2 linked regions of the Caenorhabditis elegans genome follow. The protein of the gene in region 1 interacts with the protein of each later gene in a pairwise test. Each region holds a gene or a part of one and is shown on either strand. Other genes may lie near its edges.

Region 1 (5,881 bases):
CGGAAGAACCCATGTGCAATTCCCGCATTTGCTTAGATCGGTTGTAGACTTTACATGAGTAGTGTAATCTATAATACGGATATTTATTGGGAATCTTGTAAAGAAAAATAAAATAACTTACGATTAACTATCACTAGAAATTCCTCGATTCTCATTTGATCCACAGATTCATCGGCCATAATCATTTTTTTGTTGAAAAATCAGAACTGTTCAAAAAATTGGATAACTATCGAATGTAGAAAGATTCAAATGACTACATCTATGAGTGTCATGCAATGGTGCTCAAAACCGATCGATTTGTTGCTCTAAACCTTTAGGAAGGTCCGTTCTTCCACCATAGAGTCTCTCAATACACCTGTCTATAATTAGTCTCTCCCTTTCAATGTCTCTTATCTAATCCGTCGACTACCATGTGCACGAAAACATTCTCGAGAGCAGAGATTTTAAGGGAAAAGATAATTATAATGGAATCCAGGAAATGAGTGTAGTTCGATATCAGTTGTTGATAACATTCCGGAAGAGTTCAATGGTGGCCTATAAGGTCATCAGTGCTCTTGCCCGCCTTCGACACTTTTCCCAATAATAGAAATTCCAAAATTATACTAAACTACGGAGTTCACCCCAAATGCACAAAAGACACTTTACTTTCAATTCGAAACTTCTATTGTTTTCAGAAAGTATATCATTCGATCCCAAACTCTCTGGACACCAAAAAAGGTTTTCTAGTCAGAGTAGACATTTTTATATGCAAAGAATTGAGTAATATACTGTCATAATATCAAATTCGTCAATTTCAGTTATATCATGTGTGTACTGTTGAAGAGTACATCCATCCCCATCTGTTCCCACATCTGTCAGTTCATTTGTGTCGGCTGAATGTAAAAGTAAGTGAGTCAATCCATCGAAGGTCAACTTCTCGCGCGAAACGACACACTCCTTGATTATGGAAATTTCAAAACTGCTATATGCCCACATTCGCTATGCATTCCATGGTTTTATATTTTAACAATTTAAAAATTGATACATCAATATTTATCGAATTTTACTACATGTTTTCTTTCAGAAATCGGTGCTCTTAGTTTTAGAAAAATTGAAAATAGTGACAATAAGTGTTTCGGACAGTTTAACGTCACGAAAGACATTCTTTCCAGTAAGAATTCCGAAGGAAGTAGCCCCCACTTTTACTGATATGCCAACTTCTCGCGATAGACGCATTCGAGATAAAAAGCGAGTTTTCAATAATTAATAAAGTGAAGAAATTTCAAATCAAAACAAGAAACCCACGGCTTTTATAACTTCAGTTTTAAGACTACTTTAGAATAAACAAGGTGATAACCATCAATTCCCGAATTGAAAAAGTTAGAAAATCCTTCCAAATATTGAACTCTACTAGAAAGCTTGCATTTTGGCAGAATTTTTTTTATATAGACTTTTCAGCTATATACTCTAAATCGTGCTATAACATTTTAAACCCTTATTTTACGAGACTTGAACACAAATTTCTCCATTTCCTGTCTCCACACTCATTCTCTCCCTCTATCGTCAATTTATTTGCCAAGACGGTAGGGCTCTCGATCGGTTTGACACAATATCTCATCTCTTTCCGTCTAACATTTCGACGTTTTTTTCGCGCATTTGCTCAATCTCCACCCATACTTCAAATATTTAATCATTTTTAACCCAAGTTTTTCTTGTTGATAAATGATCTTACATGGGTAAAATACAAAACTTTCAGTATGAAACGAAGAAATAATGACGATGCGATCGAAATTCTCCATTGATCGAGTTCTTCATGATACCGCATTTGCCAAATGGTGTCAAAAGGTAGAGTAATCGTTGTATCGTTTGGAAAAATCGTATTGTATACAGTAATTACGTTCTGAAAATTAATTTTTTTAATTTATGAATCTATGTAAATATAATTAAATTTCCTGCCAAATAATTAAATCATGTTCTAGGAAGAATCGCGGAACGCCGATTCGATAACCCTGTACACGTCAATTTTGGATTTTGAATCCAAACTGAAAACTGGTTCTCCATCTCTATCTCTTTTAAAATTGGCTAGGCATATTCATCGAAAATACGTCAGTTTGAATACTGGAACATGCCACGTCATCGGTGATTCAATACGCACTAAGATCTCCACACGGGTACATGAGGTAATGATCAATATACTTGTTAATGTTTGTCTAGTCAGTTGAAATATCGTCGGTTGGAATATTTGTAAAAAATACTTATATGATAGTCAAGCATGCCCAAATATTTAATTTAATAACTCCATTTTTGATATTTCGAAAATTTCAGTCAAATTTTCAAAAATTGTACTTTTGATAACTTCTGAACATTCCTGCACGTCCGAATCAGATGTGGGCAACATTTTTGGAGTCCAGAAGTTATGAAAAATCAATAAATTGTTTCCCTGCGAATATTCTAGGTCAAAATCAACAAATCCAGCAAAATCGAAATTTTTGAACAAAAATGTGGTCAACTTTTCGTTTTCTCCTGATTTTGAGCCTTGATGCTAATTTTGTTTCCTAAACTGTACATTTTTTTCTCCGTTTTTTTTGCATTTACAAGCTTTCAATATTATTAAAAAATTACAAAAATTACTTTAAAAACTTCGCAAAAGTTTTCGATCGGAGTTTTGAATAAAATTGTTTTTTGATTTCTTGTCCTAAGAAACCTGATTCAAATCTCTACAATGTTCAAATACTAATAACTAAAACATAACCTAAAAAAATCAAAGAAGGTTTTGATATGATAATCATTCATTCTAGCACCACGGGAGTAGTTTTTTGAAAACTACCCCACTTGCCATACTTTACCTTTACTTTGGAATATTTACTCAAATTTAGGCAGCCGTTTTTCCGTAGAACCGCAGGATTTTTTCATCTCTCCGAACATTTCTCGGGCGTGTTCTCTGTTCTTTCAAGTGATAAAAAAGAAGAGAAACAGTTTGGCAGTTCTTTTCTTCGGATACCTGTCAAGTACCATGTGCATACACACAAAAGACACAGTGAGGACACTTAACACAAATTCTTAGTGTAGATCAACACAGGTTGACACGTCATTAGGCTTGAAAGTGTTGGTCAACACAAAGAGAAGAAGTGCTTCATTTCTTCAAATAGATATTTATTAGTTTTTGATTTTGTTACCTCCATGGCTACAATGTCGAGACGGTGGAATTATTTCACACCCCATTATAATGATGAAGGTTCAATTGATGTGAGTAATTGATTATTGTTTCAATTTTTATACTTTTTCTAGTAATTTCATATTTATTAAAATACTGCTTTATGAAAAATCGCTCGTTAAAAGATTTTACAGTTCCGACTATTTTCGAGCATTGCCGTAGGGTCACCTTCCTAAAATTTTCCTAAAAGTTTCAGATCCGGCATTTTAAAAATATTTAAATTTTCAAAAAAATGGACGTAGATATATCAGTCGACATATTACAGTACCTTTTCTAACGGTAGATCTGAATTACCTGTTACTCATATCTTACCTTTTTTGTTGAAAATTTGTAAAATTGTCATATTTATTTTATTCGAAAAATCTTATATCCATATCATAAAATTTCAAGAAAAGTAAAACTGGATATCATCATGAATAATGTCTTTTCATCAATACAACTTTTTTATTGGAAGTTGATGAGAACATTTTTATCCAAATGTCATTGTGAAACCATAACATTTTTCAGGTTCTCGATGGTAAACCCCCGTACATAGACTTATTTGATCCTCTCAAACAACCACTTTTCCAACATTTACGGTCAATGCACACTGAATTTTCAACGACAACAGCCGATGTTAATACTACTGTAACTTGTGGTTGACTCTAAAATTTATCGAATTTATTTTCAGTGGGAAGATGCGTCATCAACAAGTTCTTCAAATAAAGGTGCTACAATATGGTTAGTAAAAATAAATTAAGATATGCGAACCGGATAGTAGAGCCGTTTTGTAGACACCCCACTAAATAAAATAATTGAAAGAAGATTCTCAAGTCACACAAATTTTCAGGTTCAATGAAGACGCAATCGATAAATCATCCCGCCACGAAATAGGTCAAAGTACAGTAACCCATGAGTCGGAAGATGATCGATTTTCGTTTTTCAATGCTGTCTGTACACGCCTTAATTCCTTACAGTACGTGCTTTTTGATATTTCGAATATTTAGAAATCGTTTTAGAGAAACAAAAAACTCATCAGAAACAGAAGAACACGCAGAATCGCCACGAAAAGAAAAATCTTCAACTCCATATGGGACTGATGGATTTGCACCGCCACCGAGGAGCACACAGACTAATACATTGAAAGTTTCAAATCTTCCGAAACGTTTTGAATCTCTTTACAAGTGAGTCTTGTGACAAAGAACCCATCTGCCGATTTTCGGCAAATGCTCATGTTTAAACAATAATTGCCAAACTGTGTTCAGGTTTTCAACATAAAAAATACGGTGCCTGGTCTCAAAACGACCGAAACTTCGAAGCTACAGTACTCGGAAATAGTTCTCAATTGCCCACAGTTTTTTACATTAAAAATATATTAGAAAAAATTGAGTTCGAGAAAAAATTGTCACACGGTCTAAATACTTTTTCTTCGGATAAATTGAAGTAAATTTCAGAAAGAAACGCCAACAAGTTGCCACATCAGATTCCAGCGGATTCGGAAGCAATGCTAGTGATTTTTGGAGTTTTGAACGTAGGAAGTTCCCAGTTTTCAAGAATTTTATTCGAGAATTAATTTCAGGTTATGGAAAATCCAATCAAGGAACACTTGAAAGACCAAATCGATTATTTACGGGAACAAACAACGGGTTTTCCACATTACAACCGTAAGCTTTCACATCAAGAATGGCGGTTAAATAATATATATTTTCAGAAAGAGAAGAGGTTCAGAGGCTCCAAAAATGACTGTAGAACTACGATACGAGAATGATGTTCCGATGGTGGCAAAGATTTCAGCAAATCATGCACAATCCGTCACTTTAAGATATTTTAGACATTTATTCGGTCTTCACTATACTGATAACTGCCGGTAAAATATTTTTAATATCGCCAAGTTTTCAAAAAAAAAGTTTGTTCAGCTTTTTCTTTAAATCAACATGCGAAGATGGTTCCGCTCAATATCAATGGACTCTGCTCTTCCATGATGATGACATTCTTCCCGTGTTTCAAAATAGAATTACAGCAATTTGTAGAATGTGTCCTCCTCCAGAAGATCATGATTTAATTTAACTTTAATTATTCGTATGTAAAGATATTGTCGTCAGTTTTTGTCTTTTAATTGTACGGTTATTCATTTCATTTTACAGCAAAATGTGATAAACAGTATTGACGATAATTGATAAGATAATTGTGAGATACTAATACAAAATATTAAGGGCTCTGGGACATCCGCTGTGTAGTTCTTGTGGGAGACTTGGGTCGACTGTAGAATAACTAACATCTACATGAGTTATTCGTTCCATAACTGATAATGTTTCAAATACAGAATCCCAATGAAGATCTGATCCACGAGCAGAAAATGAGCACAAATGCGAAAGCCAATCAGACTGAAATTGAAAAGGTTAACATTTTATAAAAATCTTCATGAATGCACCTCAAACTCCACTTTTGTTTTCGTTTCATTTATGGTAAGTTCCTCTAAATTCTTCAATTCTCCCAATATCAGAATCCAGATCTGATCGGAAATCCACGAGGAGTTGAAGCTCAAATCCAACTTCTTGAGATGAGACATGCCTGTAAATTGAGCTTTTTGGTATTTTGGATAAAGTTAATGGAATACAAACCTATAAAAACTGATGGGATAATAGTATCAATCGAAGTATTATTCGCAAGCAACCGTATTCCAGAAAGATTTAAAGATTCAATATTGGA
Region 2 (6,717 bases), on another chromosome or scaffold:
ACTAACCAAATTGTTTTAACAGCTTTCATGAAGTTTCCCCTAAATGCTATCCCTTTTATCTGAAATTCATAATTGGCTCAGCTTTACCAGCTTTCCAAATATTTCTGGCTTTGACGCACTTTAAATATATTATTTCATTAAATCCTAAATATAAAGTTCACTAGTTTTGTCAAGAACACATCCAAACAACTCGGTTCCTGTGTACTATTGCATCTTGTGACCTACAAACTAGTCAAGGATCTTTGAATTTTTACCATAAGTACCCTTCAATAATATCTCCCAGCTCCACCAATTCAATCAAGTTCAAGATTTCAAATTGATTGATGTCGACAAATTAATTGAGAGTACAACTCGATCCGCCCTCATCAAATCCTAATCCATCACTCGTAATACATCGACCTTCTTCATCAGATCTTCCCTGTTTTTTGTGCACCACTCATCATTATTATCTCTTTCCACCAGACTCTTCTCTTTCAGTCGACTCTTCGGCTCAACTTTGATCCCTTATTGTGACCCGTTGTGGGGTGTTAAAAAAGTTTATTGATGAGTTATGACAAGTCTTTGTGGTGAGACTGAGAACGATGAGGTGGGGGAGGAAGGTATGAAGGTGGAGCCATTGTGTGCACAAAGTGGTTGCTACTGGTGGTGAGTAAATCAACACCTGATGAGCTGTTCAAAAAACAGAAGCAGAAGAAGAACCAGTCACTTTACTCTTTGCAATGTTTTCAGCTTTGCTTTCTTATTTCTATGATACTAGTATTACGTTAGTTTCGCATTATATTTTTTCAGAATTTTAGCTTGAATTTGTTCACTTATAATTCGCATATCACTACATATAACTTGAAATAGAAATGGAAATAGTTAATAAGATAATGATGGAAAGATCAATTGAATGACTAAAAATAAAACAATTAGAACTTCTGAATGAGTTTAGAGGTAGATTATTGGCTACTGGACCTTCGTAACAGTATCTATTTGTAAATACTTATAGTAGTTTTTGTAATTAGTCTTTACTTATACTAGGGCAATACAAAAATATATTCTGAATCGCTACAGTTTGGATGAAATCTCAATAAAAACTAGGCTCCAATTTTTAACCTTTTCCAAGTGTTCAGAAACTTTATTTCTACAGTTTAGAGTTTACTTATATTTTCCTATTCCACTGCATTAATTTTCTCATAATAGAACATGTGAGTAGATAATTTCTATGTGATTTATGTGATACGTTTGGCATATGTTGTACTTTTTCTCAGTTGCACACTTATCAGCTTGTGACCTGGTGGCACTCAACCCTTGCCGTCTCTCGAGATACATTGTACCGCAATAAAGATTTGAAAAACAATACGACATTAGCAAGAGCTGGTCCAAACTTGTGCAAGGTATGAGTGGCGTTTCTATTGAGAAAACACGGTCTACTGTATTTTAAATATCTTGATAAATGTTATTTGCTCTGTTAGTATAAACTTTACCAATTATGTCATTGCCAACAGCTATATTCAACTACGTCACGAATCCTATGTCTCACTTCTTTGCAACAAAAACCCTTGATCTTTTTAATCACATCTTTAAATGAGAGTTGATCTCATTAAACTACTCATTTGCTCAAGAAAATTCTGCACTCAATGCTGAATTGCTTTGTCCGTGTTTAAGTACCTAATTCCATGATCCAGACACATCTTATCTCATTCCGAACATTCCCGAACTTTCGTGTCATCCTTCACTTCACTTTGTCACTTCTCAAAAAGTTGTCGTTTCTTCTTGCTTGTCGACCCAAAAAATCATCGAGATTTTTGCAGGAATGCTGAGTCCTGCATTGCTCAAAGTGTCACTCAATCGAAGGTTCGTCAATGATTTTTTGTAGCTGCACTCATTGTTTGTTTTATGTTTCAATCTTTGTGTTTTCAGAAGCTCCGCTCCTGTACCACAAGATGAGGTGAGCCAATTGGTATTGAAGAAGGATAGAACTCTGATCAAATGGAAAAAAGAGGAAGAAGGGGAGGGGGTTAAGATGGATAAGATGGAAATGCTGGAGGGAAGAAGAAGATGGAAGGTTTCATTGGCGGGTACCTTTGAGAACCATTCCCGTGCTTTGGTCACTTGTCCTGATTTTTTCTTCACTACAACCTGATTTTATGGAGCTATATTCTCAAACAGAAGTTGATAGATAAAGTGTATCACCATTCCGTTTAAAAACTGTATTTGTAAAAGATTTATGTCTCAGTTCCTTAACATTTTTGGTAGTAGTCCTCGAACCTCGAAGCTACAAATAATAATTTGCTCTATTTATATGATACTTCCACTTCAAAACATTCATATTTTAACATAATATATTTATTTCAGAAAATGATGTTCCATTCGCGAAACCGGGCTGCATCATATTTGCAGCCGATGATAGAAGATCAGGAATTGATTGGATTCAACAGAGATAGAAGTGAGTTCATAATTTCTTTTTGCCTCTCTCCCGATTCTCGTAAAAAATGAGAATAAACAGCAAAATGTGTAGTAAAGGTTGAATAACGTGTGAATACCACGATGGCAGCTTCAATGTTCTTCTTTTAAAATAAGTTATTAACTTTATAAAAAAAACCAGAGAACAATTCAGATTGATTCTCAGAAAAAAAAGAATACTTCCGTCTATTTCTAAGTTGTCATAACTATCTTTATCAGGAAGAAGTTCCGGCTCAATAATCGTCGACAGTTTTGAACTCGGAAATGCTTCGCCAAGTCGCCGCGGTTCAATTGCATCTGGCATTCCAATGGACAAAAAAACCCGACGGAAGCTGTCAAATCCGGTAGGTTTTCTATGTTGTTAGCTCCCATCAACAATTGGAAAAACAAAATGAAAGATAAAATGATAAATGCGTTCGAGCATGATACCAATCTGATGAAAAGAAGAAACAATCTATCTCATATTGAGTCGGCATACCAACTGACGTTGGAGTCTCTACTTTTTTGATTTAAACGAAAAAAAGAAAGAAAAGATATCTGAGAGCCGATGATGGTCGTCTTTGATTCACTATTCATCAGATGATCCACTGACGAACATTTTCTCACCTTTCCCTGAGATGTGCCAGCCTATCAGTTTCATTTTTACCGAGTTACCGACCTTTTTTTTTCGTAATTTTTAGTTGCTTTTCGGGGATTTTTTTGACTACGAAATTTTCTCAGTAATTTTTTATTTTTCTTCCTTTGAAGAAAACATTTTGCTCGATTTCCATTGTTGCTCGAGGTTATTCACAGTTTTCTGAATGTGAAAAATTATGAGAAAACGCGGCTCCCATTCTTTCAGACTTTCTCTCAAACCTTCAGTATTTTGAAACATTTCAAAAACTCGCAGAGCATTCGTATTATGGTAACTTGTCCAGGCGACCGGCAGTTAGTTTCATATTCGTCCAATCTTTCCAATCTAGTTTCAGCCGAAAACCACTGCTTTCCCAAGTATACATATATTTAAAAAATAAGAAAAGAGAACTAACTATTAACAGAAAAAGAACGGGTAACTGAATATCCTTCTGCATTTAGTTTGATGTATCCTTCAAAAAGATAAGGAACAAAAAGTGACCAGCACATACATATATCGGATGTCTCGTTTGCAACTTTTGGCCTCCCATCCCATTTCCTGTCACCTCGTGACCTCATCGTTAGATCGAAAACCATTTGAGTGCAGTCAATGTTTTTGACACACTTCAGATACTCGCCATAAATCTTTTGAATCTTACTTCTCCATTCAATCTTTTCGGCTCTATTTCTTCATTTGTTTCTTTCTTATCAATTGTTCACACAGCCTGAAAATGTTCTCCAAGTCGAGCAATCGGTTCGGAACAACTTCTATATTTGGGGATCAGTCTATTAAAGATGAATACCGTAACCGACAGAGACGTCTTTCTCTGATTGGTGGACCTATAAGTGGAACATCTCCAAATCGACGAGAATCACTTGTTCGAGAGTTAAGAACTGTAAGTTCAAAGAGTCTTTAGTCGCCAGCTGTTGTCAGTTCAAGCTTGTTAACAACAAATTACATGGGGGGCCAACATTTGTCAAAAAATTGCTTCCATTTTGTTATTAGTACGAACAGAAATTGAAAAAAAGAAGTAAAAAACTTGAGTCTCAATTTCCTGATTTATTTAGTTCTACCACTAATACTTCAATGTATTTCCTAAGGATACACAGAAAATCTCAAGATTCTATAAAAAGTTGGTATTCAGAGACTAAAATTCATAAAAGACCGGTACGTTTTTTGCATGCCGTTTGGCCCAGTTTGTGTTTTAAACCCTATGTATAGCAATGTTTATTTTTAATGCTATATTTTCACAGTATAATAATTTGAAAATTTTAATTGTATTGTTATATCCGGTCAAAGGTTGACAACAGCCACACAAGCCATGTGTTTAATGTCGTTAACAACAAGATGAATGGGAAATTAATTGCTCCGCAAGCTTCTCCTTCAGAACAATACATTTATTTTCAGGTATCTCTTCATCAATACACAGAAGATCCAACACTTGCATGGGAAATGCTGAAAGAAAAAAGACCAGTGAAACCAGTTCGTCAGATGAGACTTGATACTCCAGTAAAACCAGATCATGTGAGATTTGTATGTATTGGATGTACACATGGAGAACAATTTGATATATCAAAACTCCCACCTGGAGATGTTCTCCTCGTGGCTGGAGACTTCACATCATGCGGTCTTCCAAATGAAGTTCACAATTTTAATAAGTTACTTGGAAAACTGAAATACTCTTACAAAGTGGTGATAGGTGGAAATCACGAATGCACATTTGACGACACATTTTTGAAATTGAGTAAGTTCAACTCCAATAAACCATTAACGATCAATCACCACAACAAAATTTGCAGAACAAGAGTCTGAACCAAAAGAAATGGCACTGAAACAAGCATTGTTATCAGCAATTCATTCTGATTCAAAGGGTGGAATTTCAGCGAAAGTAAGCATGATTTCAATTTATGAAAGTATACAATTTTTTGTAGGATTTGTTATCAAATGCAATTTATTTGGAGGATAATGTAATCGAACTGTTTGGAATCACAATTTATGGAACGCCATGGTAAGGATTGCAAGTTTTCTGAAAAAATTGTGGTAGATTCAAGTCGAAATTTGAAACAATTGTCACCTTCGACAAGTATTATCATTATATATTTTGTAGATCAATAAAAAATATAAGTTCGAATTGAATATTCTTTCTCACAGCATAATTCTATGAGTTCCATATTGAACCCATTGTATCAAAGCACAATTTCAAAAATTGCAGGCAACCAAAAGTAGACAATTGGGCATTCAATCTCTCTCGTGGACAACAACTATTGGACAAATGGAACCTGATCCCGGCGGGCGTTGACGTGCTTTTAACTCATACACCTCCACTTGGTAAGTTCAAAGTACCACAAATAGTAAAACACAAATTTTGTGCAGGACACGGCGATATGATGAACAATGGACAGAGAATGGGATGTGCCGAGTTGTTGAACACAGTTTTCAAGCGGGTTCGACCAAAGTATCACGTTTTTGGACACATTCATGAGGGCTACGGATGCACAACTGATGGATATACAAAGTTCATTAACTGCTGCATGTGTAATGAAAATTTGGATTTAAAGGTGATCATTCGTGAATTTTGACTTATTGAGAAAAATTGGGCATGACTCTGGGACGACTTTATTCAAGCAGCACACAAATTTAGACTATCCATGATTATTAAATTTGACAATTTCATCGTTAAAAATTTTCAGAACGAGCCAGTAATATTCGATATCCCAGTGCACCCTCACACCAAACAATTCTACATTCAAAATGTGAAGAAAATTCATAAAAGATTCCAAAAGAAGAAATAAATTAAATTCCTCTCACTGTCACCTCTGTGTCATTTTGTAGTTATAATTATACCACCACTTTTTAATTTTTTTTGCTCTTTTTCCACACCACGACCATCATCATCTATTTTTCTCACTCATTGAGCCCTCCTCCAACCCCATAAGAACAAAATAATATCCCATCCGGAAATGAGTCTTTATGAACTCGATGCGCAGTCAACAGCACCACAAAAAGAGCAAGAGAAGGTTGATTGTGCTTCTGCTGCGACAGCTTCTGCAACTGCTTCTTCTCGTCTTCCAATTCTTCTTCTTTCACCAAAATTGCTCCCGCTAACCAGCAATAAAACATTCCAATTTGTGAGCCTCTTTCGAGTCAAACATTATGAAATTCAATACCAAATTATGCTGCAACCTCCTCTTTTGCCCTCTGAAATCAGATATTGGCCATGTGTGGTGCGGTTCCGGCAGTGCCGGCTTCTTGCTCCACACAGACAAATCTCTTTTGTTATTCATCGATGTCTTTTCTCAGAGATATCATCAACATTAGACTTTTTTCGATTTTACTGAAATTCATTATTTCTAGACCAGAAATATCTGAAACAGGGTGAAATCTAGTCAGAATGATTTCCACCCAGAGTTGTTTCATATAGTCTGTAATTTTTTAGATACAATATTTTTCTTACGTCAGACAGTATCCACCGTGTCAGTTGAGAATACACATAGGTTTTAGTTTTAAATCACCACAAAAGCTAACAAGCGCCACATTCAGTTGCACGTAGAAATTAATCTCTGACCTAGAATATATGATAGAATAGAAAAAGGAACCAATCCATTAGGAATAATGAAAATTCTTTGGCAATTTTTTCCGAAATGAATCACAAATGA

Evidence for each region.
Region 2: the proteins of axl-1 (region 1) and T07D4.2 interact in a two-hybrid assay, tested with the Caenorhabditis elegans proteins (one large-scale study listed by BioGRID).

What each region holds. Positions count from the first base shown.
Region 1 is NC_003279.8:8,512,167-8,518,047, forward strand, and holds axl-1 (Axin-like protein 1), read left to right. Parts: upstream 1-1,733; 5' UTR 1,734-1,752; coding exon 1,753-1,824; intron 1,825-1,958; coding exon 1,959-2,159; intron 2,160-3,054; exon of another isoform or gene 3,055-3,159; coding exon of another isoform or gene 3,160-3,225; intron 3,226-3,700; coding exon 3,701-3,820; intron 3,821-3,863; coding exon 3,864-3,913; intron 3,914-4,022; coding exon 4,023-4,148; intron 4,149-4,191; coding exon 4,192-4,356; intron 4,357-4,626; coding exon 4,627-4,703; intron 4,704-4,751; coding exon 4,752-4,836; intron 4,837-4,883; coding exon 4,884-5,039; intron 5,040-5,088; coding exon 5,089-5,239; 3' UTR 5,240-5,347; downstream 5,348-5,881. Other genes in the region: K02B12.2 (Myb_DNA-bind_3 domain-containing protein), read right to left, coding at 1-68, 122-185; tnsl-1 (Tonsoku-like protein), read right to left, coding at 5,368-5,556, 5,604-5,743, 5,794-5,881. UniProt on the Caenorhabditis elegans protein: Works in parallel with pry-1 in negatively regulating bar-1 signaling in vulval precursor cells and Q neuroblasts. Shown to have a role in excretory cell development.
Region 2 is NC_003280.10:8,869,022-8,875,738, reverse strand, and holds T07D4.2 (UPF0046 protein T07D4.2), read left to right. Parts: upstream 1-1,796; 5' UTR 1,797-1,798; coding exon 1,799-1,839; intron 1,840-1,905; coding exon 1,906-1,933; intron 1,934-2,340; coding exon 2,341-2,431; intron 2,432-2,667; coding exon 2,668-2,792; intron 2,793-3,784; exon of another isoform or gene 3,785-3,791; coding exon of another isoform or gene 3,792-3,956; intron 3,957-4,468; coding exon 4,469-4,805; intron 4,806-4,860; coding exon 4,861-4,949; intron 4,950-4,992; coding exon 4,993-5,069; intron 5,070-5,273; coding exon 5,274-5,389; intron 5,390-5,434; coding exon 5,435-5,619; intron 5,620-5,751; coding exon 5,752-5,853; 3' UTR 5,854-6,190; downstream 6,191-6,717.